Macaca mulatta: one gene and its partners. The protein of the gene in region 1 purifies or fractionates together with the protein of each later gene. This does not show direct contact. Links are inferred from orthologs where the notes say so. Each region holds a gene or a part of one and is shown in the gene's direction. Other genes may lie near its edges.

Evidence for each region.
Region 2: the proteins of CAPZA2 (region 1) and WASHC5 purify together in Homo sapiens (affinity purification with mass spectrometry; 3 studies listed by BioGRID and IntAct, counting the BioPlex papers as one, with this or other methods). This does not show direct contact. The link is inferred for Macaca mulatta from reciprocal best matches to the Homo sapiens genes CAPZA2 and WASHC5.
Region 3: the proteins of CAPZA2 (region 1) and TWF1 purify together in Homo sapiens (affinity purification with mass spectrometry; 3 studies listed by BioGRID and IntAct, with this or other methods). This does not show direct contact. The link is inferred for Macaca mulatta from reciprocal best matches to the Homo sapiens genes CAPZA2 and TWF1.
Region 4: the proteins of CAPZA2 (region 1) and MTCL1 purify together in Homo sapiens (affinity purification with mass spectrometry; 3 studies listed by BioGRID and IntAct, counting the BioPlex papers as one, with this or other methods). This does not show direct contact. The link is inferred for Macaca mulatta from reciprocal best matches to the Homo sapiens genes CAPZA2 and MTCL1.
Region 5: the proteins of CAPZA2 (region 1) and TNKS1BP1 purify together in Homo sapiens (affinity purification with mass spectrometry; 4 studies listed by BioGRID and IntAct, counting the BioPlex papers as one, with this or other methods). This does not show direct contact. The link is inferred for Macaca mulatta from reciprocal best matches to the Homo sapiens genes CAPZA2 and TNKS1BP1.
Region 6: the proteins of CAPZA2 (region 1) and CNOT1 purify together in Homo sapiens (affinity purification with mass spectrometry; 3 studies listed by BioGRID and IntAct, counting the BioPlex papers as one, with this or other methods). This does not show direct contact. The link is inferred for Macaca mulatta from reciprocal best matches to the Homo sapiens genes CAPZA2 and CNOT1.
Region 7: the proteins of CAPZA2 (region 1) and KIAA1671 purify together in Homo sapiens (affinity purification with mass spectrometry; 3 studies listed by BioGRID and IntAct, counting the BioPlex papers as one, with this or other methods). This does not show direct contact. The link is inferred for Macaca mulatta from reciprocal best matches to the Homo sapiens genes CAPZA2 and KIAA1671.

What each region holds. Positions count from the first base shown.
Region 1 is NC_133408.1:156,451,281-156,455,243, forward strand, and holds the end of CAPZA2 (F-actin-capping protein subunit alpha-2), read left to right. Parts: intron 1-614; coding exon 615-677; intron 678-1,943; coding exon 1,944-2,084; 3' UTR 2,085-3,463; downstream 3,464-3,963. UniProt on the Homo sapiens protein: F-actin-capping proteins bind in a Ca(2+)-independent manner to the fast growing ends of actin filaments (barbed end) thereby blocking the exchange of subunits at these ends.
Region 2 is NC_133413.1:135,492,380-135,495,879, reverse strand, and holds part of WASHC5 (WASH complex subunit 5), read left to right. Parts: intron 1-1,052; coding exon 1,053-1,219; intron 1,220-1,298; coding exon 1,299-1,374; intron 1,375-3,223; coding exon 3,224-3,334; intron 3,335-3,500. UniProt on the Homo sapiens protein: Acts as a component of the WASH core complex that functions as a nucleation-promoting factor (NPF) at the surface of endosomes, where it recruits and activates the Arp2/3 complex to induce actin polymerization, playing a key role in the fission of tubules that serve as transport intermediates during endosome sorting.
Region 3 is NC_133416.1:50,804,599-50,808,613, reverse strand, and holds the start of TWF1 (twinfilin-1), read left to right. Parts: upstream 1-1,215; 5' UTR 1,216-1,286; coding exon 1,287-1,311; intron 1,312-2,953; coding exon 2,954-3,031; intron 3,032-4,015. UniProt on the Homo sapiens protein: Actin-binding protein involved in motile and morphological processes. Inhibits actin polymerization, likely by sequestering G-actin. By capping the barbed ends of filaments, it also regulates motility.
Region 4 is NC_133423.1:79,818,082-79,821,581, forward strand, and holds part of MTCL1 (microtubule cross-linking factor 1), read left to right. Parts: coding exon 1-1,131; intron 1,132-2,225; coding exon 2,226-2,381; intron 2,382-3,500. UniProt on the Homo sapiens protein: Microtubule-associated factor involved in the late phase of epithelial polarization and microtubule dynamics regulation.
Region 5 is NC_133419.1:16,092,702-16,096,201, forward strand, and holds part of TNKS1BP1 (182 kDa tankyrase-1-binding protein), read left to right. Parts: intron 1-707; coding exon 708-2,069; intron 2,070-3,500.
Region 6 is NC_133425.1:54,167,935-54,171,434, reverse strand, and holds part of CNOT1 (CCR4-NOT transcription complex subunit 1), read left to right. Parts: intron 1-969; coding exon 970-1,116; intron 1,117-2,073; coding exon 2,074-2,198; intron 2,199-2,446; coding exon 2,447-2,733; intron 2,734-3,500.
Region 7 is NC_133415.1:26,385,773-26,389,754, forward strand, and holds the start of KIAA1671 (uncharacterized protein KIAA1671 homolog), read left to right. Parts: upstream 1-1,182; 5' UTR 1,183-1,295; intron 1,296-3,982.

The sequences.
Region 1 (3,963 bases):
TCTTAGGAGGTTTTCATTGTTTTATATTTTTACACCATATATATAAAGTATAAGGTGTTAGAGAATTTTACATTAACACTGTTTCATTTTTTAAATCCAGATTCTGTTAACTTTACTATTAGGAAAAAGCAAACAAACCCATCTATTGGCATGTTAAAAAAAATTTCCAGAAAAATACATTCTTCCTGATTAGTGTTTTTTTTTTTTTTTTTTTTGGTATCACTGTTCTGTTACATAATGTTCATAAATATTTAACAATATTTAGATAAAGAGTCATCAATTAGAAATCTTTACCAAACTTGTTACCCATAAAGGTTGTCTATTGGAATGCATGTCCAGTGTTTAAAATTGAACTTTTCATCAATGTGTGTATCAATGAGAGTTCACTTTCCTTAGCCAGCTAAACATTGACACCAGCTTATTCTGTAGACTTTTAAAATAATTTTACCTATTTCCCCCTTAGACTTAGAATAATTGATCTTACAATATTTGTTCTTTGTCATAATTTCCTTCTGTGTTATTTATTGTAACATTACATTAACCATACATATATTTTAAAGTAATAGTGGTTTAGTTTTAAATTACAATTTTTATTTTTATTTTTTTTTATTCAGAATGAAGTGCAAACAGCAAAAGAATTTATAAAGATTGTAGAAGCTGCAGAAAATGAATACCAGGTATGATTTTTTAAATATTATATAAGCTACATTCACGTATGAATTAATAGCACTGAAATTTGAATTTCATTCAAAGGCTGAATTTTTCCATTGCATCAGTAAGAGTCTTTTTGTTGTGTGTCTACTTTTAACACAAGGGCAGACTTATTAAAGTGTAGGCAAAAAGAGTGGCAAGTAAATTGAATTCCATTAATATTTTGTATTTTAAAAATACTAAGACTAGGCCGAACACGGTGGCTCATGCCTGTAATCCCAACACTTTGCGATGTTGAGGCAGGTGGATCACGAGGTCAAGAGATCAAGACCATCCTGGCCAACATGGTGAAACCCCGTCTCTATACAAAAATCAGCTGAGCGTGGTGGCATGTGCTTGTAGTGGCGGGTTCTACTTGGGAGGCTGAGGCAGGAGAATCGCTGGAACCTGGGAGGCAGAGGTTGCAGTGGGCCGAGATCGTGCCATTGCACTCTGGCCTGGCAACAGAGCGAGACTCCATCTCAAAAAAAAAAAAGACTAGGTTTTAGCCAACTGTAATTTCTGAGTGCAGATTGAGTATCGCTGATCTGAGTTGTGTGGGACCAAAAGTGTTTTAGATTTCAGATTTTTTTTTGGATTTTGGAATATTTATTATATATTTACCACTCAAGCTTCTGTAATCTGAAAATTAGAAATCTGCATCAATGCTCCAGTGAGCATTGCCTTTGAGCGTCATGTTGATGCTCAAAAAGTTTCAAGTTTTGAAAACTTCGGATTTTTCAGTTAGGGGTGCTCAATCTGCATCAGTCAAAAAATGCCAGACTTTTTAAGTGGCTATTTTTTTCTGGTTGAAAATTTTAATTCAGGCTGTGTCTTACCATTTGGATTATGTGCAATCTGCTTAGATCACATTTCATTTTGTGCTTTACTTTTTGTTATTTATCAGCTTCTAAACTACACTCTTGAATTTAAGCATTTAATTTGTGAATTAGACAAGTTTCTACTCCTTAAAAATAATAATCCATAAATTGTTCTGACATACTAAAATAAATTCAAAACGAGGACACAAATATTACATCTAATTTATAATTTTCATTAAGTTTAATTATTCAAAATTATTATGGCTTTTTCTTCTAGCTGCCTTAACAAAATGTTGGGTTTTTTTTATTTGACTGTTTAAAAACAGTGAAATGGGCTGCTTAAATAAAATGTATTCTGAAAACATCTATATGCTTTATAAATTGTTCTGTTCTTTTGCTTTACTTTAAACTTCTAACTATTGTTTTTCATAGACTGCCATCAGTGAGAATTATCAGACAATGTCGGACACTACTTTCAAAGCCTTACGTCGACAGTTGCCAGTTACACGCACTAAGATTGATTGGAACAAGATCCTTAGCTACAAGATTGGCAAAGAGATGCAGAATGCATAAGATGAACATTGCATGACCGGATCGTTTTAGTGTCTTTGCGTTAAAAAATTATTGCAAAAGTATTCTGAACTGTCAAGCTGCCCAGTCAGATGGGCTGTTGCCATTTAAAATCACTGTAATTAATTAGTTTGATTAGAGCACAAAGCTTAGCTAATCAACCATTATTTTTCATTTTGTTTGTTCTAAGAGGATTGAAAATCAGTTTAGTTTAAATGTCTTTCTGTTAGGCCTTTCTTTCTTAACAATGAAGAAGAGATGATTCTTCTAGTTTATGGTTAAAAGTTTTTGAAGTGTCTCAAAAATATTTTACTAACTGTAACCCTAAAATTGTTGTCTTTTGGTTTATGAAATGGGTAATTTTTGATATTTCCCCAGTTCTTTTTAATGGGGTCAATAATGGACATTCTAGTTTAAGGTGGTTGATGGATTTAGCCATATATGCTGCTAAAGAAATTGTCTACCTTTTCTTCCTCACCTGTTCCATTTATGTAAGGTTGAGATTAGAGGGAAAGCATTTTCTATATCAATTGTGTTTAAACCTTTCAAGAAGGTTATTTAGCTAGCTTAGTGTTGAACTAAATTTTTTTTAAACAAGGCGAGGTCTAATGCTGTTTTGAGATTCTGAAATTAAATGAAAATACTTATTTCAGAAATGCATTTAATGCTTTTTTTCTTGTGACAGTTACGCAAATCAGCTTGAATTCCATATGTCCCTGAGTTATTTTTATCATAAAGCCACAAATGTATTATAACAAGGCAAATTGTAATATATATAATCCTTAACTCATAACCATGTCTCGGTTTATTTTTTTTTCTTGGATTGAAAAGTACTGAAATTCAATGTGACATTAAAATGCAAATTTTCCTATTTATTTGAGTAGAAAATCACTTACCAGTGAGCATATATATTTTAAAATACTTTCTTTGGATATTGTAATTCTTAACTGGTTGTAAATTAGAAAAGCTGGGATTACATATGGTGTGTGGTTACAGTCTAAATTTTTTCATCCTCCTGTGCGTCATAAGCATGTTTGTAATATTTTAAAAAATAGTTCTACTGATGCTACAGGAATTTCAAGCCTGTGGCGAATGTTAGTATTTACCATAGGGAGTGAAGCGGAGTTATGGTTTCATTCAATAGAGTATTGCTTATTATACTTGAGTGGAATCCTTTCCTCACATACTCCTACAGACGTCTGGGCCTGGAAATTTTTTTTTTTTTTTTTTAGAAAAACACCACTTTTATTATGTACAATAAAATATTTCGTTAGCTTGAATTGTATAGATTTTTAAAAATTCAATGAAAGCATGTTGTTTAATTTCTTTTTAAAATCACTGTTGAGCTTTGAAAGCATTGAGAATATAATATGAAAATATGACATTTTGGCTAAATCATCTTTTCTTTTAGTTTTAAAACACAAGTTTTGACACATTGGGATTCCTAAAGAAAATGAATTGGTAACATTAATTATCTGTTCCTTTTTTAAATATATATATTTGAAAGTTTGATGATGGTGAACTAAATACTAGATCTAATTGACAAACTTAGTTCTATCAGGCCATCATGAGTTTCTATCCCATGAAAGTCATCAGTTTCCTGTCTGTTCTAGTCTGGAATGCATTACTGAAAATATATGCAAGTGTTCGTAAGGTGATTTGCTTGTGAGATGGAAGATTTATCAAAAATAATTTAGAACAGTCTGAAATAATGATTGCACAGAATAGACTAGTCTTTTATTGTGTAAGAATGGCAGCCGGGTGTGGTGGCTCACGCCTGTAATCCAAGCACGTTGGGAGGCTGAGTCGGGCGGATCACGAGGTCAGGAGCTCAAGACCACAGTGAAACCCTGTCTCTACTAAAAATACAAAAATTAGCCAG
Region 2 (3,500 bases), on another chromosome or scaffold:
TCTTGGATCGTGAATCACACCTTATGACCCACCCAGCAGTCTGTTCCTGTAAATATATCTGAGAGACTATTTCATCAGAAGTAAAAGCAATGTGAATTAATATGTTTCCTGTAACAGATAGTGTCCTAAATTTGGGGAAATAAATGACTAGTATGAAGAGAATGGTAGCAAAAATTACAATATTTTAACTTGAGGAAACATGTAATCTTAGAAACATAATTATAAAAATAACATAGAAGCATTGGGCAAATTGTGATAAGGAGGTAAAAGCAAAAACAAAATTGCATGTGTATACCATTTTTAGGGTTGTAAAAAAGTGTGTGCCTTGGGGAAAAAAACCAGAAAGGAATACATAAAAAAAATAATAATAATTATATAATGATCATATGCTTGTAAGTGGTATATTTTCTTTTCTGAAAAAGTAGTTTATTGTTTTTCTTTCAACTCATAAATGATTGTACGAAAAAAATTATACCTCACCACTCTTAAATTTTAATTGTGTATTTAACTAGATTTAAAATGATAACTAAAAGCAGCAGAAAAATAACCATAAACTCTTTTTTTTTTTTTTTTTTGAGATTCAATCTAGTTCTGTCACCCAGGCTGGAGTGCAGTGGCGCCATCTCAGCTCACTGCAACCTCCACCTCCTGGGTTCCAGCGATTCTCTTGCCTCAGCTTCCCGGGTAGCTGGGACTATAGGCGCCTGCCACCACGCCCAGCTAATTTTGTATTTTTAGTAGAGATGGGGTTTCACCATGTTAACCAGGCTGGTCTCGAACTCCTGACCTCAGGTGATCCACCTGCCTCAGCCTCCCAGAGTGCTGGGATTACAGGCATGAGCCACCGCACGTGGCCAACTCCATTATTCAAAACATCATTTTTACTCATAATCTATAACCCTATCTAATTGATATGATTATATATTTTTAGAGATATAATTAATACTGAAATCGTCAGAAGTAGTGTGCTTTATTTGAAGTGTTTTCAAGAACAAATGAGCACCACAGGGTCCATTCAGGGTTTTTAAATTAAGTGTATTTCTGTAACACAGGTTCAAGAATTCCACCAGTTGGAATCCAATCTGCAAGTATGTCAGTTTCTTGCCGATACTCGAAAGTTTCTTCATCAGATGATCAGAACCATTAACATTAAAGAGGAGGTTCTGATCACGATGCAGATCGTTGGGGACCTTTCTTTTGCTTGGCAGTTGATTGACAGGTAATGTAGGCAGTGCTGACATTTGCTATAGATGAAAGGCCCTGGGAACATCTTCTTACCATCTCTCTTCTTTTTACAGTTTCACATCTATCATGCAAGAAAGCATAAGGGTAAATCCATCCATGGTTACTAAACTCAGAGCTACCTTCCTAAAGGTAAGCAAAACACAGTGAGATTCTCTGTTACTAGGAAAGAGTTGGCCTTCATTCATACCTCGTTCATTAATTCAGCCCAAGATTTTATCCTTTTAGGAAGGTAAATAATTTCAATATTTTTATAGACTGAAATTGTTAGCAGTTTTTCCATGAGATCATAGTTTCAAAGATGCCAGAAATATTTAAAGTTTTAATTAATATAAGTTGGAATGTCTTCAGGAATACTGTTTTATAAGTTGGAATATCTTCAAGAATGCTATTTTTAAGTGAAGAGTAGTTTTATCTGTGTACTAAAAATGTGAGTCTTTTGTGTCCTTTATTCCCTAGGCATGAATTAAGTCCTTTTACTTATTCATTCAAAAAATTACTGAGCCTCTGCTACAAACTAGTATTAATATCTACAATAACAGGGAATATTGGTGAAAAATAGGCGCAGCCCGTGCTCTCATAGTAATTTCACTTCGTGGTAAATGAACAAAGAATCTACTCAGTGTCTTCTTTTATTTATTTATTTATTTATTTATTTAGAGATGGAATCTTGCTTTGTTTCCCAGGCGGGAGTGCAGCTCTGCCTACCAGTTTCCAGCAATTCTCTTGCCTCAGCCTCCCAAGTAGTTGAAATTATAGGCGTTCACCACCATGTCCAGTTAATTTTTACTATTTTTAGTAGAGATGGGGTTTTACCATGTTGGCCAGGCTGGTCTTGAATTCCTAACCTCAAATATTCCTCCTGCCTTGGCCTCCCAAAGTGCTGGGATTACAGGTGTGAATCACCAAGCCCAGTCTACTCAATGTCTTCTGACAGAGCTACCATGTACCATATATATCAATTCTGAGATGCACCATTTTTTGGGAGGTGGGGGTGAGAGGGATGGGGTTTTACTGTGTTGCGCAGGCTGTATCTCAAACTCCCAGGCTCAAGCGATCCTCCTGCCTTAGCCTCCCAAGTAGCTTGCTTTATAGGCGTGCACCATGCGCCTGGCTACTACAACTTTTTTCATATTTTAACATTCCTGTAACTGGGGGTAGGTTTTATCGTTGATGGCATATCATAGTTTAGTTGTCAGCATTTAATTTTTTTCTGAGTGACATATAAAATAATGGCACTTCTTTTTTTTTTGAGACAGAGTCTCGCTCAGTCGCCCAGGCTGGAGTGCAGTGGCGCCATCTCGACTCAGCCTCCCCAGTAGCTGGGACTACAGGCGCCTGCCACCACACCCGGCTAATTTTTTTGTCTTTTTTAGTAGAGACGGGGTTTCACTGTGTTAGCCAGGATGGTCTCAATCTCCTGACCTTGTGATCCACCCGCCTCTGCCTCCCAAAGTGTTGGGATTACAGGCATGAGCCACCGCGCCCGGCCAATAATGGCACATCTTACGCTTGACGGCATATTAGATTGGACGGATTCAGTAGTGCGTCAGTCAGAATGTCTTGATTTCCACACAGGAGTAGCTATCTTCTGTGGCACGGTGGCTCTCAAACTTGAGCATGCATCAGAATCACCTGCGGGGCTGGTTGTAACACAGATTGCTGGGCCCCACCCCCAGGGTGTCCGACTAAGTCAGTGTGGAGTGGCACCCAATAATTTGCATGTCTAACAAGTTCCCAGGTCATGCTGAAGCTAGCGGTCCAGGGAGCACAGTTTAAGAACCACTGCCATTACAGTTAACTAGGGTTTTTCAAAAACTGTATTGTCAGTAACTATTAGTGATACTGATGAGACTCAGTGGTTGTTGCCCTCTGTTGGGTAAAACCCAAATGTTTTGTTGTATGTTACATTTTCTGGAAAAGAAGATTTCTAGGACTCTTTTTGAAACAGAGAAACAGATATGCCTTATTTTTCTTCCAGCTTGCCTCTGCCCTGGATCTGCCCCTTCTTCGTATTAATCAGGCAAATAGCCCGGATCTGCTCAGCGTGTCGCAGTACTATTCTGGAGAGTTGGTATCCTATGTGAGAAAAGTAAGAAATGCATCAGGGTGATATTTACTCTTACCAGATTACTGCTGTTTTGAATACAAAAAGTATGCTTAGGCCCCCAAAAAGTATATCCGTGTCTCTTTCCCTTTTAAAAATCGGATTCCAGAAATTTGCAACACCTAAAAATAAACTTATTGCTACTGTGGAT
Region 3 (4,015 bases), on another chromosome or scaffold:
GTAGTAAAAAACTGGTAAATCAGGGCGAACCATTGTGTCAGGAAGAATTGGGTTAGAATGAAACTCCTCCCTACATTTCTTAAATCCATACAAGTCATAAAACTCAGATTTAGTTTATTACCGAATATAAGAATATGTCTGAAAAACAGAGCTCAGATAACAGGGAATAGACCATAACCTTGTTTGCTGTGATCCTTGTAAAGAAAAACAATTGCAGGCCTGTGAATTACTCATTAAAAATACATTGTATAGTATTTGAATAGTGATTAACTCGCACTTATATTATTGACCTGAATAAATTACTTGTTCATTAGATTATAATTTTGTATATGTGTGACTTCAAGGCCCTAAAAATAATAACTAGCTTCTCACCTAGTAGCAGTAGAGAAGCAGTACCAAAAAAACCCAAACTCCCCCAAAAACTAACATTACCTTTCAGGAACTATATGTTTGTAAAAGCAGGAATGGAAAAGATTTTAAAGTAATACCTGCTGTTACCTTACAAATCTGTCCAAGTGAATTTTGAATAATTATTGGATTAAATAATAAACTGCCAACCTAAAGCAGAGCAGGATTTGCAATGGTATAATCGACCACAGAGGGATACTCAAATCAGCTAATCTCTTAGTGGCTGTCTCTTTTTGGAGTGAAGAGAAAGATACAGTGAGTCTCTAAATGTGTCCAACTGAAAAGAAAAGTTAACAGTCTGAGATTAACTCAATTTAAAATCGTGGAAAAATTTGATGAAAGGCAGTCTATAATATATTCTTTCAAAACAGTGGAGCAAGGAGAAGGCTCTTCTACACTAAACGGTATCGATTATAGGAAGAGTAAACCAAGAAAGATAATGTGCACATCTTTTTTAAGCTGAAAATGCCTATTTGGTAAAATGATCATTTCTGTTTTAAAACATCCCTTCGCTGAGGCAGCGAATGGCGGCGTCGGCGCGATCTTCAGAGGGCAGACGTCGGAGCACGGAGCTGTGTAGATTCTGCGGCATTTCCCCCCAGGGAGAAGCGGGAGAGGCGGCGGCAAGAGCAGAAGCAGGACCCCAAACAGAGAGCTAAGGTCGCAAGGCCGGGGGTTGTACTGCAGCCCGACGGCCAGGAAGGGCGGTGGGGCGGTCGGGGCGCTCGGGCACTCAGTCAATCTCACGGGGCGGGGCGGCCCCGGGTCGCGGGCGGATGACGCGCCGGGACCGGCGGAGGAGCAGCCACTTCCTGGGGCCGCCGGCCGGGGCCGCTCGCCGCACTCAGCGCCGGAGCCGGGAACTAGCGGCCGCCGCCATGTCCCACCAGACCGGCATCCAAGGTAACAGAGCCCGGCGCGACCCGCAGGGAAGGGGCTCCCGGGAGGCTCGGAAGAGCCCGGAAGGCTGCAGGACGGGCAGGGCTGGAGTCTGGCCTGGACCTCCGGAAGTCGGTCTCGCGGGGCGAGCCGGGCCTCGGCGCCTCTCCGCGCTCCTGCTTCCTGGGCGCTCCCGGCCTGCGTCCTCCTCCAGCCCGGTTCCTGCTGCCGCCACATTGCAGATGGACTCGAAATTCGGGGGAGCGAAGGAAATTGGCTTTCGAGGCGGCCTGGTTGAAGGGGGCGTGCCTTCCACCGTCCCCGACATTAGCCCAACTTTCCCCCTTTTGGTCAGGTAGGGAAGAGCTGGGACAGTGGAGGCGCCTGGGGCTTCCCTACGCTGTCGAGAGCCAGGCGAGTTTTCCTTTTCATGATCCAAAGGAGAATATTACAGGACTTTGATTACGAAAAGAAACATGCCAGAATCTTTCTCACATCAGTAGGGGTGCTTCCCAAAACTCTCCAGCACTTTCTCCCCAAATAGGAAAGTGAGAGTTGTTCTGAGAAATCTCGAGTGTAGCGTGTTTGTGTTTTGATCTTTTTCCTAGGTACTCCCCAAGGGAAACTGATCTGTATAGTTGCATGTAATGCGTGCAGACAGTTCAATGTGCAGTTATATCTGACCTCCATTATTTCCTGGTTTGAAATTGGGCAGCCTGGAGGTGCTCACCTCATCAAGAGTCAAATAATATATCCCCGGGTTACTCGCGATCACTTAACGAGTTCTAGTATAAACTCAAGCTTTTACTGTTAATAGCGAGTATTTCTCCCAGATGAACACTTAATTGTATGTTTTGTTCTTAAAGATTTTTGACACCACGCCACATACCCCCTGCATGCACGCAGAAGCAAAATAGTATCAAATCTAAAAGCGTTGTTTTATTTATCCGCATTAATTTCGATACATAAATATGTCGTTATTGACTCTCATGCTTGAGCCTTATAGCAAGCACTACCTACTTACATAGTGGTTCTTGCTGCTAATAGACAACACAGGAACGAAATTAGAACGAAATCGAAGCTTTAATAGGAACACAAGCGTTAGTTATTAAATACATATTTATTCAATGATTTTAATCTAGCTTTTGAGAAATGCAAGTTAGAAAAATATAACCAGAATTAAGACAATGCATTTTACTGCCTTTTTCTTTAATCAAGTTAGGATATTTGATATTTACTGTTGTTTTTAACGGGAAAATACAGAAAGTGAATTGATGAAGGAGTGTCATAAGCTTGAAACTGAATTAGAGAATGAAAGCAGGTTTTCAATATTTTTCAAAGGAGCAATAAAAGTTTTTCAAAATTGTAATTTGCTCATTATTGGGTTTGAGTAACTTCAGTATATTCACCCCAGTGTTATTTCTGCACAGAATTATATAGCTAAAACAGATTAGAATTATTAACATACTTTTAAAATGCTAATATTTATATTTCTTAATTGTATACAGTCTTCATTATTTTATGCGGTAAAGTTTTATAATACTGATAATAAGGATGCTACATGCTCCAGATTTTTTCTTTGTGTTCTAATTAATTTTTTCAATATAGATAGGAAAGTATTTATATGTAAGTATAAAAAGTTTACTTTCTTTATCTTTTTCCACAGCGAGTGAAGATGTTAAAGAGATCTTTGCCAGAGCCAGAAATGGAAAGTACAGACTTCTGAAAATATCTATTGAAAATGGTTAGTTAAATATTTTAAAATATTTTTTGTTCCTGGATTAGTGGTGGCCGTTGTATTTTTAAACTTAGTGTGTGTTCTCAGTGATTTGAACTATTAATGTGAAGCAAGTTCAAATCTTCCCTTACAGTAACTTGGATTCCTCATATTTTGTGCAGGTCCCTGTGGGCCCCTGATTTCCTTCTGAATTATGTGACTATCAGGGAAACAGAAAGATGTTTTTTGATGTGACTTCTTCCTCTTTTACTTTTTGTGTCTTAGTTTCTGCACCACAGTCCATTTCTAATGTCAGTGCTTCCATCTCTGGAATGGAAATCACTAAACAGGTGATTATCAAAAAAAAAAAGTTACTTGTGAATTATTCAATAAAGTTTGTTTTTAAATACAAACAAAGGATTTCAAACTCCCATTTACTCCATTTGATTGCAACCTTTGCTACAGAAATGATTATCACCCTTTCTTGTTTTGGGAAAGTTCTGAGAATATAACAAACTACAAATTGATCCTTTAAAAATAATTCTGTAAACAGGGAATCTGGTTGAGTGGGAGAATCTTTTAAATCAGGCAGATTTGAATTTGGACAATTACTACTATTATAGCTACTCAGTCACAAATGAATATGTTAAAATATTCCAGCGGCCTAATTTCTTAAATATCTAAAAATATTTTGCTTTGGAAAAGTAACTTGTTCTTTCACAAACTGGAAGTAAATCTAATTTGTTTTCTGTTTTCTGCTTATGTATTAAAAGTACCACAATAGTTGATAAAATATGCATTTGTTTACATATAACATTCAATAGGAATATATGTATATTGTAAAACAACATATTTTAAAAATACTGAGGTAAAATTTTTAATACCATCACTTCCTAAGTGACCAGTTAAGGATCTAAAATGGAAAAGTTAATCTAACTAGCATCTCTACAGAAGGAAAATGGCACTACTTCCTAAATTATTATTTTCTGGTTTTACTTTTTTGTTTTGTGA
Region 4 (3,500 bases), on another chromosome or scaffold:
AGCACCCGGGAGGCCGAGCTGAAGCTGCGGCTGAAGCTGGTGGAGGAGGAAGCCAACATCTTGGGCCGGAAGATCGTGGAGCTGGAGGTGGAGAACCGTGGCCTCAAGGCAGAGATGGAGGACATGCGTGGCCAGCAGGAGCGGGAGGGCCTGGGCCGGGACCACGCACCCAGCATTCCTACCTCACCCTTCGGCGACTCCCTGGAGTCCTCCACTGAGCTCCGCCGCCACCTGCAGTTCGTGGAAGAGGAAGCGGAGCTGCTCCGGAGGTCCATCTCCGAGATCGAAGACCACAACCGGCAGCTGACCCACGAGCTCAGCAAGTTTAAGTTTGAGCCTCCCCGGGAGCCGGGCTGGCTCGGGGAGGGTGCGAGTCCTGGTGCCGGGGGAGGGGCACCCCTGCAGGAGGAGCTGAAGTCAGCCAGGCTGCAGATCAGCGAGCTCAGCGGCAAGGTGCTCAAACTGCAGCACGAGAACCATGCGCTGCTGTCCAACATCCAGCGCTGCGACCTGGCAGCGCACCTGGGGCTGCGTGCCCCCAGTCCCCGGGACAGCGATGTCGAGAGCGATGCAGGCAAGAAGGAGAGTGAAGGGGAGGAGAGCCGCCTGCCCCAGCCCAAGCGGGAAGGCCCTGTTGGCGGGGAGAGTGACTCGGAGGAGATGTTCGAGAAGACGTCGGGCTTCGGGAGCGGGAAGCCATCGGAGGCCAGCGAGCCGTGCGCCACGGAGCTCCTGAAGGCCCGGGAGGACTCCGAGTGCCTAGTGACCCTAAAACACGAGGCCCAGCGGCTAGAGCGGACGGTGGAGCACCTCATCGCGGACACCGACAGCTTCCTCCGTGACGCGGGGCTGCAGGGGGGTGCACCCTCGCCGGGGCCTGGCCTCCAGGGTGAAGAGGAGCGGGGCGAGGGGGACCAGCAGGAGCCTCACCTGCTGGGGACCATCAACGCCAAGATGAAGTCTTTCAAGAAAGAGCTTCAGGCCTTCCTGGAGCAGGTGAACCGCATTGGGGATGGCCTATCCCCCTTGCCCCACCTCACAGAGTCCTCTAGCTTCCTCTCCACTGTGACTTCCGTGTCCCGGGACTCCCCCATCGGGAACCTGGGGAAGGAGCTGGGCCCAGACTTGCAGGTAAGGGGGCTCGTGGCTTCGCCTCCCTGCTCCGCCTTGCTCTTCCTCCTTCTCGCTGGCATTGCTGCACTCGGGCTCACGCTGCTCACGGCTGCTTGGTTATGATTTCAAACCTGCATTGTACTAAAGCCTCCGGGGCAACCGGATCCTCTCTCTTGGTTGGGCTCCGTTTTTTTTGTTTTTTGTTTTTTTTTTTTAAGTTTTCTTGTATTGCCTTGTTTCTTTTTCCTTTTTCCTGTCTTATTTTTAACTGCGCCACGGCTCATGGTTTAGAGGCCCTCCCAGACACGAGGCTAAGCCCAGTGGAAGCGATAGGGCTCGACGCAGGCCGGCCTTGCTCCTCTCTTGGTATCTCAACCAACCAGCCACACGCTGAAGAAGCCGTGAGGAGGCTAAGACAAACGCATGTCACAGTCAGGATAATTAGCAGACTCGCTACCAAGCACGTCCCTTCCTGGGTGTGTTTCAAGGGACACAGTGCAGTCCAAGGCCCTAGGCAGCCCAGGCCCCCATTCCCGCTGGAGGATCAGCCAAAGCGGGCGAGGAGCGCGGTGCTGAGAAGGATGGTTTTGGTGGAAAAGCGCTGCTGGCTCGTGCCGCCCTGCCGCCGCTGGGGAGGGCGCGGAGGGCCTCCGAGGACTGCTGTCCTAGCCTCGCCTGGGTGCATGGCCCAGCTGCCGCCCTGGACTGTGGCTTTGGCTGCTCGACCCACAAGTAAGGAAGGAAGAGCCTCGTTTTCCGTTTCCTTCACGGGTAGCGTGCTTGCGGTTGAGTTCCGGATTCACGCATCGCCATCGCATGTGCCCCGTAACCAGTGTTTTGCACCCCCACTTTCTCTTTTTGCTTTTCGGATGTGTCCACCCGCCCTTTTGCTCATTCTCATCTTGGGTCTGTTCTCTTCACTTTCGTCCACCGCTGTCTTTAAGCTGGTGTTTCTATTTGTGCTGTTCTTTGGTCGTTTTCTCAGTCGTCTCCCTTATCCATTTTTGTTTTCTTTATCCCCTCTCCCTGCCTCCACCTTCTTGTCCTTTGTTTTTTTTGTTTGTTTGTTTAAAATTTTAAAAAAACAAAAATCCCTCCCGTGCACCTAACAGTCCAGACTGAGAGAGCAGCTAGAGTGGCAGCTGGGGCCGGCCCGAGGGGACGAGCGGGAGAGCCTGCGCCTCCGAACTGCACGGGAGCTGCACCGCCGCGCAGACGGGGACGCCGGGAGCCATGGGCTGGGAGGCCAGACCTGCTTCAGTCTGGAGGTCAGCGTGGGCAAGCAATCCCCGCCCCCCTTCCATTTTCTGTGTGGCTGGCTGCGTGACGTTTTCTGTCCCGGACAAGGCCCTGAGGGAACATGGCAGGAGGATGTGGAACTAGGTGGAACTCACTTGGCAGCAAACCCATTGTGTGCACTGGGACAGGCAGGTGTGTGCAGGTGCATGCGGTGAACTGCTGTGCTTGTCAGACAGAGGGACAGCTCACCGCAGGCACTGTCCACCTCCTGTTTCCGCAGACCGGGAGCCCCTGGAGGCAGGCCGATTGTTGAGCGCGCAGTGGCTTCTTGTGCAGTTGCAGAGAACAGGGATGAAAACTCAGCCTGGGCTTCCCTGCTCTGGAGGAAACTCCCCTTAGGGCTCCCCTTTTTCGGTTGTTGCCTGTGTCTCGTGTGACCATCCCACGGTCTCGAGTGATACTGCCAGCCGGTTGGTAGAGTCAGGGAGGCTCACTCCTGACCTGTGGGCACCCTTAGCAGGCTCATTCACCACAGTAACCCAGTGTACACAAGGCTGCAGCCACCACAGGGACCATGGTTGGAACTGTTGTCAGAAGCCTGGGAGAGTGAAAGCTCTTAGACACAGGCCACCCAACCCGGGAGAGAAAGAGGGGGTTCCCAAGGAGCTGTTGAATGAGGAAACACCTTTAAAAGTCCAGATGCTGTGTCAGTGTAAAGTATGATTAGTAATAGAGAGAGAATGCAATGTCCTGCCATTGGGGACTTACAAGGGGGAAGTATGTCATAGCTCCCCTAGTCAGGGGCCAGTTTTCCCTTCCCACTGTAGCTCTTCCTTCTTTGCCATGGGCTGTTTCTGGAACCACAGCTCCGGCTACACAGGGCGGCCCCCTTCCCTTTGATGGTTGGTTTTACAGGAACTGCATCTCCCTTTCCAAGTGTTCTGCCCTTCAAGGTGTGTCACACATAGCTGTGTGCAGTTAGAGCCTGTGTCAGACAGCTCTCCTCCCGGATTCTTCCTAGGTCCTTATTGTGTAACCTGGAGCAGTGATAAGTGGTCACCATCGTGAATGCATAGCATAGCTTCAGAAACTGGGAGTGATTTGGGAGAGAGAAGCATACTGAGTTGAAGCAAACCAAATACTGAGGG
Region 5 (3,500 bases), on another chromosome or scaffold:
TCACCCTCACCTAACTGGGAGTTGGGCATTGTGGCCACCGGCCCTAATGTACAGATGAGGAAGCTGAGACTCAGAGAGACCAAGTGTCTGCCATACGTGAGGGAGGGCACATACTGGTAAGAGGCAGTGCTGGGACGGCTCAAGCTAGGCACTGTCACGTCCCCCGGTGCCTTTTGCCTGGGTCCCATGGCCTTCCTGCTTCCTTGGCACCTCTGGAGTGGCAGGAGGAGCACCCCGTCCGTGCTGTAGCCACTCCTGCGACTGCTCTGTAGCTGCACTGCACCTCAAGTCCTGCTTTGAGGCGAAACCCTCTCTCCCCTCCCGACTCCCACATGCCGAGATGCCTCAATAGCCAGATTCTCAATGTTCCTTTTCCCTTTATAAAGCAGGTGTTCTGGACCCCGAACTGTGGCCTCTGAGGAGATCCTCAGATGAGCTTCGGGTTGAGTGGGTGAGGGGTTCCAACCACCTGAAATGGTAGGAATAAGGCTAGGTACATTCTGGGGGAGGTCTAAAGGGGGCTCTGTGAGAAGTCCTGCCTTGAGTCGTCTATGGGGCCTCTCCCGTCTGTCCTGAGAGGACCCCCTTAGGTTCCAGTTTCCTCCTCCCAGCCTGGGAGAAGTTGACCTGGGGTCTGTGTGGGGTTGGAGGGGACCCTGCCCGCCCCACTGAGAGGTGAGTGACGGCTCTTGACCTTTCTCTTGCAGATTTCCAAGCCCTGGATTCCCTCAAGTCCAGCCCCTTCCTCAGAGAATGGAGGCCCTGCCAGCCCAGGCCTCCCCGCAGAAGCCTCAGGCTCAGGCCCTGGCTCTCCCCATCTTCACTCACCCGATAAGAGTTCTCCCTGCCACTTGCAGCTTCTGGAAGCCCAGAGTCCTGATGCTTCCCAGGCTTCTCCTTGCCCCGCTGTGACTCCATCAGCTCCAAGTGCAGCCCTGCCTGAGGAGGGCTCCCGCCACACCCCCAGCCCCGGGCTCCCTGCTGAGGGGGCTCCAGAGGCCCCCAGACCCAGCAGCCCTCCCCCTGAGGTCTCGGAGCCCCACAGCCTGGATCAGCCCCCTGCCACCTCGCCCCGGCCCCTGATCGAGGTGGGTGAGTTGCTTGATCTCACTCGGACGTTTCCATCTGGCGGGGAGGAGGAGGCCAAGGGTGACGCACACCTCCGCCCCACCAGCCTGGTTCAGCGCCGATTCTCTGAAGGTGTGCTCCAGTCACCCAGCCAGGACCAGGAGAAGCTGGGGGGCTCGCTGGCTGCCCTGCCCCAAGGCCAGGGGAGCCAGTTGGCCCTGGATTGTCCCTTTGGAGCAGAGTCCAACTGGAGCTTATCACAGTCCTTCGAATGGACCTTCCCCACGCGGCCCTCGGGTCTGGGCGTGTGGCGGCTGGACTCCCCGCCTCCCTCCCCCATCACTGAAGCCAGTGAGGCTGCCGAGGCTGCTGAGGCTGGCAACTTGGCTGTTTCCAGCAGGGAAGAAGGAGTGTCTCAGCAGGGGCAAGGGACCGGGTCAGCTCCAAGTGGGTCAGGAAGGCCTAGTTCCTGGGTGCAAGGGGATGATCCAAGCATGTCCCTCCCCGAGAAGGGCGATGGGGAGAGTCAACCTCAATTCCCAGCTGTTCCCCTTGAGCCCCTACCTACAACTGAGGGCTCACCTGGGTTACCTTTGCAGCAGGCAGAGGAGAGATACGAGTCGCAGGAGCCCTTGGCTGGACAGGAGTCCCCTCTCCCCCTGGCTACCAGGGAGGCAGCCCTGCCCATCCTGGAGCCGGTCCTGGGGCAGGAGCAGCCAGCACCCCCTGACCAGCCCTGTGTTCTCTTTGCTGATACCCCTGAGCCTGGGCAGGCACTGCCTATCGAGGAGGAGGCCGTGACCCTAGCCCGGGCCGAGACCACCCAACCCAAGACAGAGGCTCAAGACTTGTGTAGGGCGTCCCCCGAGCCTCCGGGCCCTGAAAGCAGCTCCCGCTGGCTGGACGACCTCCTGGCTTCACCACCACCTAGTGGTGGCGGTGCAAGACGGGGAGCTGGATCTGAGCTGAAGGACGCACAGTCCCCAAGTACCTGCTCTGAGGTGAGAAGGGGCATAGGGAGAGTGGGACTTCTGGGGACAGAGGCCAGGGCTTGGGTGGGCTTCATTCTTTGAACATGGATTTTACGTGTTAAGAGCTTGGGCTGTGGTAGCGAGCAAGGCAGCTGTGGACCTGCAGATCGTAGCTCTGCAGAACCGCACAGGACGGTGTGTGGGGTTTCGTGTGAGGCTGTATCCCAGCTTCAGCATTCGCTAGCTGATTGGTCTTGGGAAGAATGTGCCTTAACTGCTAAGCTTCAGAGTGCTTTCATGATAGTAGCGCCGGCCTCTTAGAGTTATATTGTGGGTAAACAAGAGGGGGAAAGCTCTCAGTACAGTGTGTGGCAGGTGCTGAGTATTCAGTCTCTCATTATGGGAATATTGTTCAAGGCAAAATAGTGTAGCCATTTAGAGCGTGGGCTCCTGGGTTGGTCTCCTGGCTCTGCTTTCCTTTGCCCAGGTGTGACCTTGAAAGAGTGACGTTTCTGCCCTCTGCCTCAGTTTCCACATCTGTAAAATGCGGATAAGATGAGCTCTACCTCCAAGGGTGTTGGCAAGGGTTCAATGAGCTGTAATGTCTAAAGTGCTAAGAATAGTGCCTGGTTCATCCTAAGTGCTTAATACGTGTTGGCTTTTACAAACGTTATTAACATTGAGCTCCAGACCTGCTTTGTAGACAGGCAGCTGGGCCTCAGAGGAGGCGAGCCTTGTGCAGTTACCCAGCAAGTTGGTGGCTGGGCCCGGGCCAGCGCCGTTTCCCGGCCCAGTGCCCTTTCTCCTACCAGGCTGCCTCTGAATTTAAGGGCCGGGGGCCAGGTGGCTTTTGAAATTTATTTCTCAAGCCGGGCCTGGGCTGTAAGGGGCGGGGCTGCAGGAAAGGAGGAGCCAGGGGGCCTCTGGAGGTTAGGGGGCGGGGAGGAGGAGGAGCAGGAAGGGGTTAAGCTGACTCCTGCAGTAGGTGTGTCTGTCCCGGGATGTGGGTGACTCAACTGGCTCCTGGGCGGGGCTGCCCAAGCTGCAGCTGCTCCGAAGGGAGCAGGGCCAGGGTGAGGGAGAGCCAGCGCTGCCAGAGCCGTCGGACAGGTCCCAGCGTGGGGAGCAGCCCAGCCCTATCCCTGCGCCCGGCTGGCCGCACCCAGCAGCCCCGAGGCGGGCGGGGGGCGGAGGGCCATGGCCCAGCCTGGGGACGGGGAGGCCAGCATGTCTGTCCTGGAGCGGCTGCTGGCCAACGCTGCGCTGAGGGATGAGGCTGGCCGGCTCCGAAGCCCTGAGCCCAGGGCTCTCCCGCCCACGAGGGTGAGTCAGGGAGCGTGAGGTGGGGGTTGGGGTGCAAGAAGCCCTGGCTGGGATTTTCCCCTGTGCTAGAAGCTGCCCCTCCTGTCTTTCCTGGGCCGAGGTGAGGGCTGAGAGGTCTTCCTGGGGAGGATTGAGCAG
Region 6 (3,500 bases), on another chromosome or scaffold:
CCCAGGCTGGAGTGCAGTGGCGCTATTTCGGCTCACTGCAACCTCAGCCTCCCAGGTTTAAGCGATTCTCCTGCCTCACCTCCTGAGTAGCTGGGATTACAGGCACCGGCCACCATGGCTTGCTAGTTTTTTGTATTTTTAGTAGAGACAGGGTTTCACCATGTTGGCCAGGCTCGTCTCAAATTCCTGACCTCAGGTGATCCACCCACCTTGGCCCCCCAAAGTGCTGGAATTACAGACGTGAGCCACCGCACCTGGCCACGTTTTCAGTTTTTTTCCCAGATACCGTGGCATGTAACTTCACATTGAAGTAAAAGCTACATTTTTTTGGTGGTTGTGGTTGTTTGTTACCTACATCTTCTTAGCCCCCTGTACCTGTTATGTTGACACTGTAAGTTCGGGCACTAAAACCTAAGGACTTCAGTGTTATCATTGACTCTGATCTAGTTAACATTGCTGCTCTGTGCTTCTGGCTTTTATGATTAATTCATTTAAATAAACGTTACTGAACTTACTAAGGCCTTCCTAGCAAAGCTCTAATTACTGTAAGATTCCGTTTGTCAGAGTTGAGAGGAATAAAGAAGTTTTGAGACTCATGGTAACTTTAAAAGATGGTATCATGAAATTATCTGATTTGAATAATTGAGAAAAGCTAGCCACCTCCTTATTTTAACTACCTTGGGTATGGGAGTATGTGCTTCGAGAATGTATACTTAATTTTTTGCACATTATCAAGAATATAAATAATTCCAGATGCTGAAGAAATTTGGATTATCTGTTGTTACTGCCTAGTTTGTAGGCTCTGTAAAATTGAATAGATGTAATAAGGGAATTAACAAAGGCTCTGACTTTTAAAGTAAGAGTTATTATGACTATTTTAAAAGTCAGTCTTATTAATACATCTGAGATGTTAATAAAATCAAGAATATGAATAATGATAGGATTTGTGGCTGCCTTCGTTCTCTCTAGTAGGTGGTCTTGGCACAGGCAGCCTGACTGGTATAGGAACTGGTGCTCTTGGACTCCCTGCAGTGAATAACGACCCTTTTGTACAGAGGAAATTGGGCACCTCTGGACTGAATCAGCCTACATTCCAGCAGAGTAAGATGAAACCTTGTAAGTGGTAGTGTTGTCTGTGATTGTGAAGTGTGACTGATAAAAATGTTTAGTTGTATGTCTCATTTGTGTTAGTAGGGCCATATGTTGATGTGCCTTCTAGACCAGTGGGAATAAATTCACAAATTTGAATTATTAAAATAAAAGTTAGAGATATCAATCCACTTTTGCTGTGGATTCCCAGAACAAAGTCATGGTTAGTAAGAGGCTGCATCCTGAGGGTGTTTGTCCTAAAAGTAAGAAATAGATAAGATAAAGAGAAATTAATATGTGGTAGATAAATGAATGTAACTCTTGTACTTAACCTAAACATGTGTTGAGTTTTTTTTAAAGCAAGTCAGGAGTGACAAGGAAAATTTCAGATTTCTGTTTCCAATTTTTGTTTCACCTCCTTAGTGATTTTTTATCCTAACTAAATTCATAGAAGTCATCTTTATAAATCCATAGGTATAATTGACTGAAGTCCTTGTCATTGGGACTGTGTAGTCATGACACGAGATTTGAAAGTATTCCAGCTGACTTGATAATGTTAGTGTGAAAGTCTTGTCTGAATGTTATGTTTTGTAGCATGCTTTGTGTTTACATCAGTCTTTCATGCACATGCATGATAATTATATGTTAAATGTGATTTTTATTATAAAGTGATAAAGATTTGTTAACTTAATGAGGTTGTATTAAGGGTAAGTGCATTATGAGTTTGAACCAAGTTAACTTTTGTGTTGTAATGAGTCCTGATGAAGATAATACTAATGTAGAATTATGGAAGGCACTTTGTTAAGGATCTTTTATGTCTACCCTAGAACACGTTAATACTGAAACTTGACCACTTAATACCCTTTTCAGTTTTTTTATATTTCCCTTAAAGTTAGAACTGCAATAGTCTCTGGCTGTCTGTGTTTTATGGGGAAGTGGAAGAAGGGCTTAAATACCCACTGATGCCTTTTTTGTTTCCAACAGCGGACTTGTCTCAGGTGTGGCCAGAGGCAAACCAGCACTTTAGTAAAGAGATAGATGATGAAGCAAACAGCTATTTTCAGCGAATATATAATCATCCACCACATCCAACCATGTCTGTTGATGAGGTGAGTGTCTAGGATGATCCGATTATTTATTGTTTAAGCCAGTCTTAAATAAATGTCCTTTTCAGTGTTTTTAGAAATCCAGCTCAAAGTGCTCTGATATAGCAATGTGTGTTTTGAAACCTTAATATTTGTCTCAAGCTCTTTTGGTAAATATTCTACTTAACAGTCTTTTGTCAAGGATATTTGAGAAAGGCACTTAGTAATTGTTTCCTTTATGTGTGCGTTGTTTTTTTGTCTTGCTTTTCCAGGTATTAGAAATGCTGCAGAGATTTAAAGACTCTACTATAAAGAGGGAACGAGAAGTGTTTAACTGTATGCTAAGGAACTTGTTTGAAGAATATCGTTTTTTTCCCCAGTATCCTGATAAAGAGTTACATATAACAGCCTGCCTGTTTGGTGGTATAATTGAGAAAGGACTGGTCACTTACATGGCACTAGGTCTGGCTCTACGATATGTTCTTGAAGCCTTACGCAAGCCTTTTGGATCCAAAATGTATTATTTTGGGATTGCTGCACTAGATAGATTTAAAAACAGGTAAGTGGATAGGTTTCCTATGAAGTGTCTCTTCCCTGACCCCACAGACAGGGTCTTAACTCTTACCCAGGCTGGAGTGCAGTGGCACGATCTTGGCTCACTGCAGCCTTGACCTCGCGGGCTCAAGTGATTCTCTCACTTCAGCCTCCTGAGTAGCTGGGACCACAGGTGCATACCACTATGCCCAGCCTTTTGTATTTTTTGTACAGACAGAGTTTCACCATGTTACTCAATCTGTTCTTAAACTCCCGCCTCGGTCTCTGAAAGTTCTGGGATTATGGTGTGAGCCACTGTGCCTGGCCTGAAGCTTTTTTTTTTTTTTTTTATTTGACATGGGGTCTTGCTCTGTTGCCCAGGCTGGAGTGCAGTGGTGCGATCTGGGCTCACTGCAACCTCTACCTCCGGAGTTCAAGCGATTCTCCTGCCTCAACCTCCCGAGTAGCTGGGATTAGAGACGCGTGCCACTGCACCCAGCTAATTTTTGTATTTTTAGTAGAGACAGGGTTCCATCATGTTGGCCAGGCTTGAACTCCTGATGTCAGGTGATCCATCTGCCTCGGCCTCCCAGAGTGCTGGGATTGTAGGTGTGAGCCACTGGGCCTGGCTAAAGCTTCTCTTTTTAAAAATAAGTGGTAGGAAAACTAAAATGAGAGCAGAGGTTTTTGGTTGGATATTTATGAGGTATACTTTGTACAGTAGAAGTCTTCCCTTTTAGGTGTATAGTTCTTTGAATTTTGGCAAATTTATGTAGTTCTGTAACTCCCACC
Region 7 (3,982 bases), on another chromosome or scaffold:
TTTTCTTTTCTCTTTTTCTTTCTTTCTTTTTCTTTTTTTTTGAGACGGAGTCTTGCTCTGTCGCCCAGGCTGGAGTGCAGTGGTGCGATCTTGGCTCACTGCAATCTCCACGTCCCGGGTTCAAGCCATTCTCCTGCCTCAGCCTCCCGAGTAGCTGGGATCACAGGCATCCGCCACCACGCCCAGCTAATTTTTGTAATTTTTAGTAGTGATGGGGTTTCATAATTTTGGCCATGCTGGTCTCAAACTCATGACCTCAGGTGATCCACCCGCCTCGGTCTCCCAAAATGCTGGGATTACAAGCCACCGCGCACAGCCTGTGATATCCTTTTCTTTTTCAGCTTTATTGAGGTCTATCTTGCTTATAATAAAGGCACATTGATTTTAGGTCCTCCAGTTATTTATGCTCTGTACATTTCCCATAGGAGCACATGTCACAGAGTCAATTCGATATACTCGCGAAATTATTTGTTTCAATATCTGTAAGCTGCACAACAGCCTGGATTTTGCCAGCTGCCCACCACTGGGTCTCCAGGACCCGGTATACAATAGGTGCTTAATAAAGATCTGCTGAATGAAATGAGTAAAGGATAACAGAACAGGTATTTTCTTTCAGAGGCGACTTCCTACGATTCTCTCAACTTGTCACAAGTTCCTATACCCATTACCCCACAACCCAAATCCACAACACAATGGCAGGAGGATTCGCACACAGTAGGCGCCCCAGGGAACTCTCGGGTGCAGTCCCCTTGCTTGGCGCGAGGAGGCGCCAGCACCGCGCACAGACCTTGCCCGCCCCCCGGGCCGGCACCAGCAGCCCAGGCAAGTCAATGGGCCCACATTTATGGAGCACCTCCTTAATTTCTGGGTTGCATTAGGCTTTCGGGGTCGCCGGCTGGGCAGCGGGTCGGTGCCGGTGGCGGGGAATCCTGGCTGGTGACTGGGGAACATCCAGGGGACGCGGGAGGGGACCGGGAGCAAAGTTCCCAGTTGGACAGAGCCGGGTCGGGCCTCGAGGGGCGGGAGCGCTTCCGGCAGGGGTGTCCCAGCGAGTCGTGACCTCTGACCCGCCGGAGAGGTCTCAGGCCCAGGCGCCACTGCCGCCTCGGGTCCTGCAGGCTCTGTTCCCCTCCGCGCAGGCGCGGCCGGCCGCAGTTCCCATGGTGACGGGGGCGCGTCCCCACCCGAGGCCCCGCCCCCAGCAGGCTAGGCTGCGCGGGGCTGCGGGCTCAGCGGGCAGGTGCTGCGGGCTGCGGGCAGGTGGCGGCGCGGCGCGGGCTGGAGGTGGCTCCACGGTAGGTTGCGCAGCGGCTGTGGGGAATGGGGGCCGGCTGGTCACCTCCTGTCCCCGGCCGGCGAGGTAGCTGGGGGTGACGGCGGCGGGCGAGGGCCGCCAAGTTTCTGCCCGGCCGAGGCCCCGGGAGAAAAGTTGGCAAAGTTGGCTGGGGAAGAGGCGGGGACCGGGAGGATTTCCCCAGACTCCGGGTCTGCGGGGAGGGAGGATCCCGGTTTGGGAGCCGGGGAATCCGTCTCCCGAGACTTGAGAGTGGATCCCGCGGGAAGATCCCGCATAGGGCAGCCAATGGATCACGTGCTACCCGGTTGGCGACTTGGGAGTCGATCCCTGCAGGGGATCGGGCGCTGGAGGCCTGGGGTCCCACTGGATCCCCAGTCAGGGGTGACGGCAGAGGGTGATTCAGAACTGGGAGCGAGAGGATCAATCTCCTCCCACGCTAGCCTGAGCCTTGCGAATGGATTCAGAGAGATCCGGTGGCCGGGAGCTGAGGGATCGCTGGAGATCTGGGTTACTCAGCCTGAAGCTGTTAGGGTCTGGACATCTGTGCGGGTTGGAGGCCCCGGAGGTGGACAGTGGGAAGCTAGGGCGGCGAGCGAGATGGAGTCTGGGTCGAGGGGAGCCCGGAGGACGGCGGGGTGGTTCGGGGGGCGTGAGAAGGGCAGCGCGCGGGGCCCCTCGGACGCGGAGGCTCTGGACGCGTCCTCCCGGCCTGGCCTGCGCCCCGCTCCGCTCGTCTTTCCAGGGCGGAGGCGCCCTGATGAGATTAAGCCTCAGTCCCCCTGTTCCCAGGCAGGCCCGCGTGATCCCCGCCCCGATGGCGGCGCGGCCCACCCGGTCTCACGGGTGGGGCTCCCGGGATGGGAAGCGGCTCGTTGACCCCCACCAGAGCCAGACCTTTTCACGCCCTCCTGGCACACAGTTGCCTGGGAGTGGGGGCGCCGCGCCTTAAAACCCTGCTCTTCGTCCAGTCCCGAAGCAGGCGTGTGACCTCCGCCGCGCGATGCCTAGGTGGCCAGGGCTTCCTGCCCGCCGGCACTGAACTTTCTGTAGCCAGGAGCAGCCATTATTTTTTGGAAGGGAAAAGACTGTACCTGTTGCACAAAGAAAAACACTTTCTTTGCACCTTCTTTGTGACCTTGGGCAGAACACTTATCTGAGTCCAGATAGGGACCTTCTGGGCAAAATGAGCTTGGCCTAGGAGGGTCTGCATCCTCCCTCTTCTAGGAGACTGGCAGGATGGATCGGAATGAAGGGTATGAAACAGGTAGGGGCTCTATAAGTATCAGTGCCTCCCTCAGTCTATGGCCTCTCCTTTCCCATGCCCCATCCCCTGTGCTTGCCTTACAGTATCTAAAGATTCCAGAAACCCTACTTGCTGTCTTTGAAACTGCAGGATTAGAGAGCTATTTAGCTTAACCTTTCTTCCAAATGGGTTAATTGCCCCTCTGATCCCCCCTTGCAGAGAGAAGTTCTGAGGTTTGGCTAATGAGTAACCAGGACATTTGGACAAGGCTTCTCCCTTGGCCTGGCTTTCCCTCTGCTAATCCATCAAGGTTTCTGGACAAACATGCGTGTGTACCCCCAGACTCTGGCGCCTCCTTCCTTCCTGTTGCAGCCAGGGACAGTTCCTGAGGAATTTGTACAGACACAAGCCCAGATCTTGGTGGTTCTGGCAGGGGGATCCTTTTAAAGGATTTGCATGCTTGTCAAGGGTGCAATTAACCAAGAGAAGTGCAGAGTTTCAATGCAGTGTCTGGGCATATATTTCAGCTGGGCATATGAACTGGCTGGCTCCATCAACCAGCATGTACTGAGCACCTATGTCAGGAGCACTGTAGAAATGGTGTGGCCTAGGGCAACTCAGGATCTGTCCTCTTAGAGTTATTTTCCAGCTATGGAGCAGTCAGCTTGCCCTGCAGTCTAGTACTGATTCTGGATGTTGGGGATACAGTTCTCACCCTAGGTTCAGAGGCTAGAAGCTGCCCCTGCCCCCATGGAGGTCCTGCGGGCTGTTTTTTGTTTGTTTGTTTGTTTTGTTTTCTTTTGTTTTTTGAGATGGAGTCTCGCTCTGTAGCCCAGGCTAGAGTGCAATGGCGTTATCTCGGCTCACTGCAACCTCCGCCTCCTGGGTTCAAGCTATTCTCCTGCCTCAGCCTCTGGAGCAGCTGGGATTACAGAGGCCTGCCATTTTGCCTGGCTAATTTTTGTATTTTTAGTAGAGACAGGGTTTCACCATGTTGGCCAGGCTGGTCTCAAACTCCTGACCTCAGGTGATCCTCCCGCCTCGGCCTCCCAAAGTGCTGGGATTACAGGCGTGAGCCACCGTGCCCGGCCTCACAGGGATATTTTATATGTGCATTCATTCATTTATTTATCATTTGTTCCTTCAACAAATCTTTCAAGACACTGTATCAAAGATGAGGCTAGCAGCCACATCCTTAAGGGGATATTTTATGCCCTGAAAGTCTTTGTGAACATAGGCACTTGTCTGGAAGGGGAGAACCATGATCATAGGAGGAGGGGCTGATGCCTTTGGCTGTGAGGAGGGATGGGAGTCAGAGAGTTTAGTTTTCTCTACAGCCAGTGGGAAGAGGTTGGTGTTATGGACTGCAGAAGTGGAACAGCTTGTGCAGAAGCCTGGAGGTAGGGGAGTGCCTAGGGTGTTGACTGGGGCCAGGCCAGCCA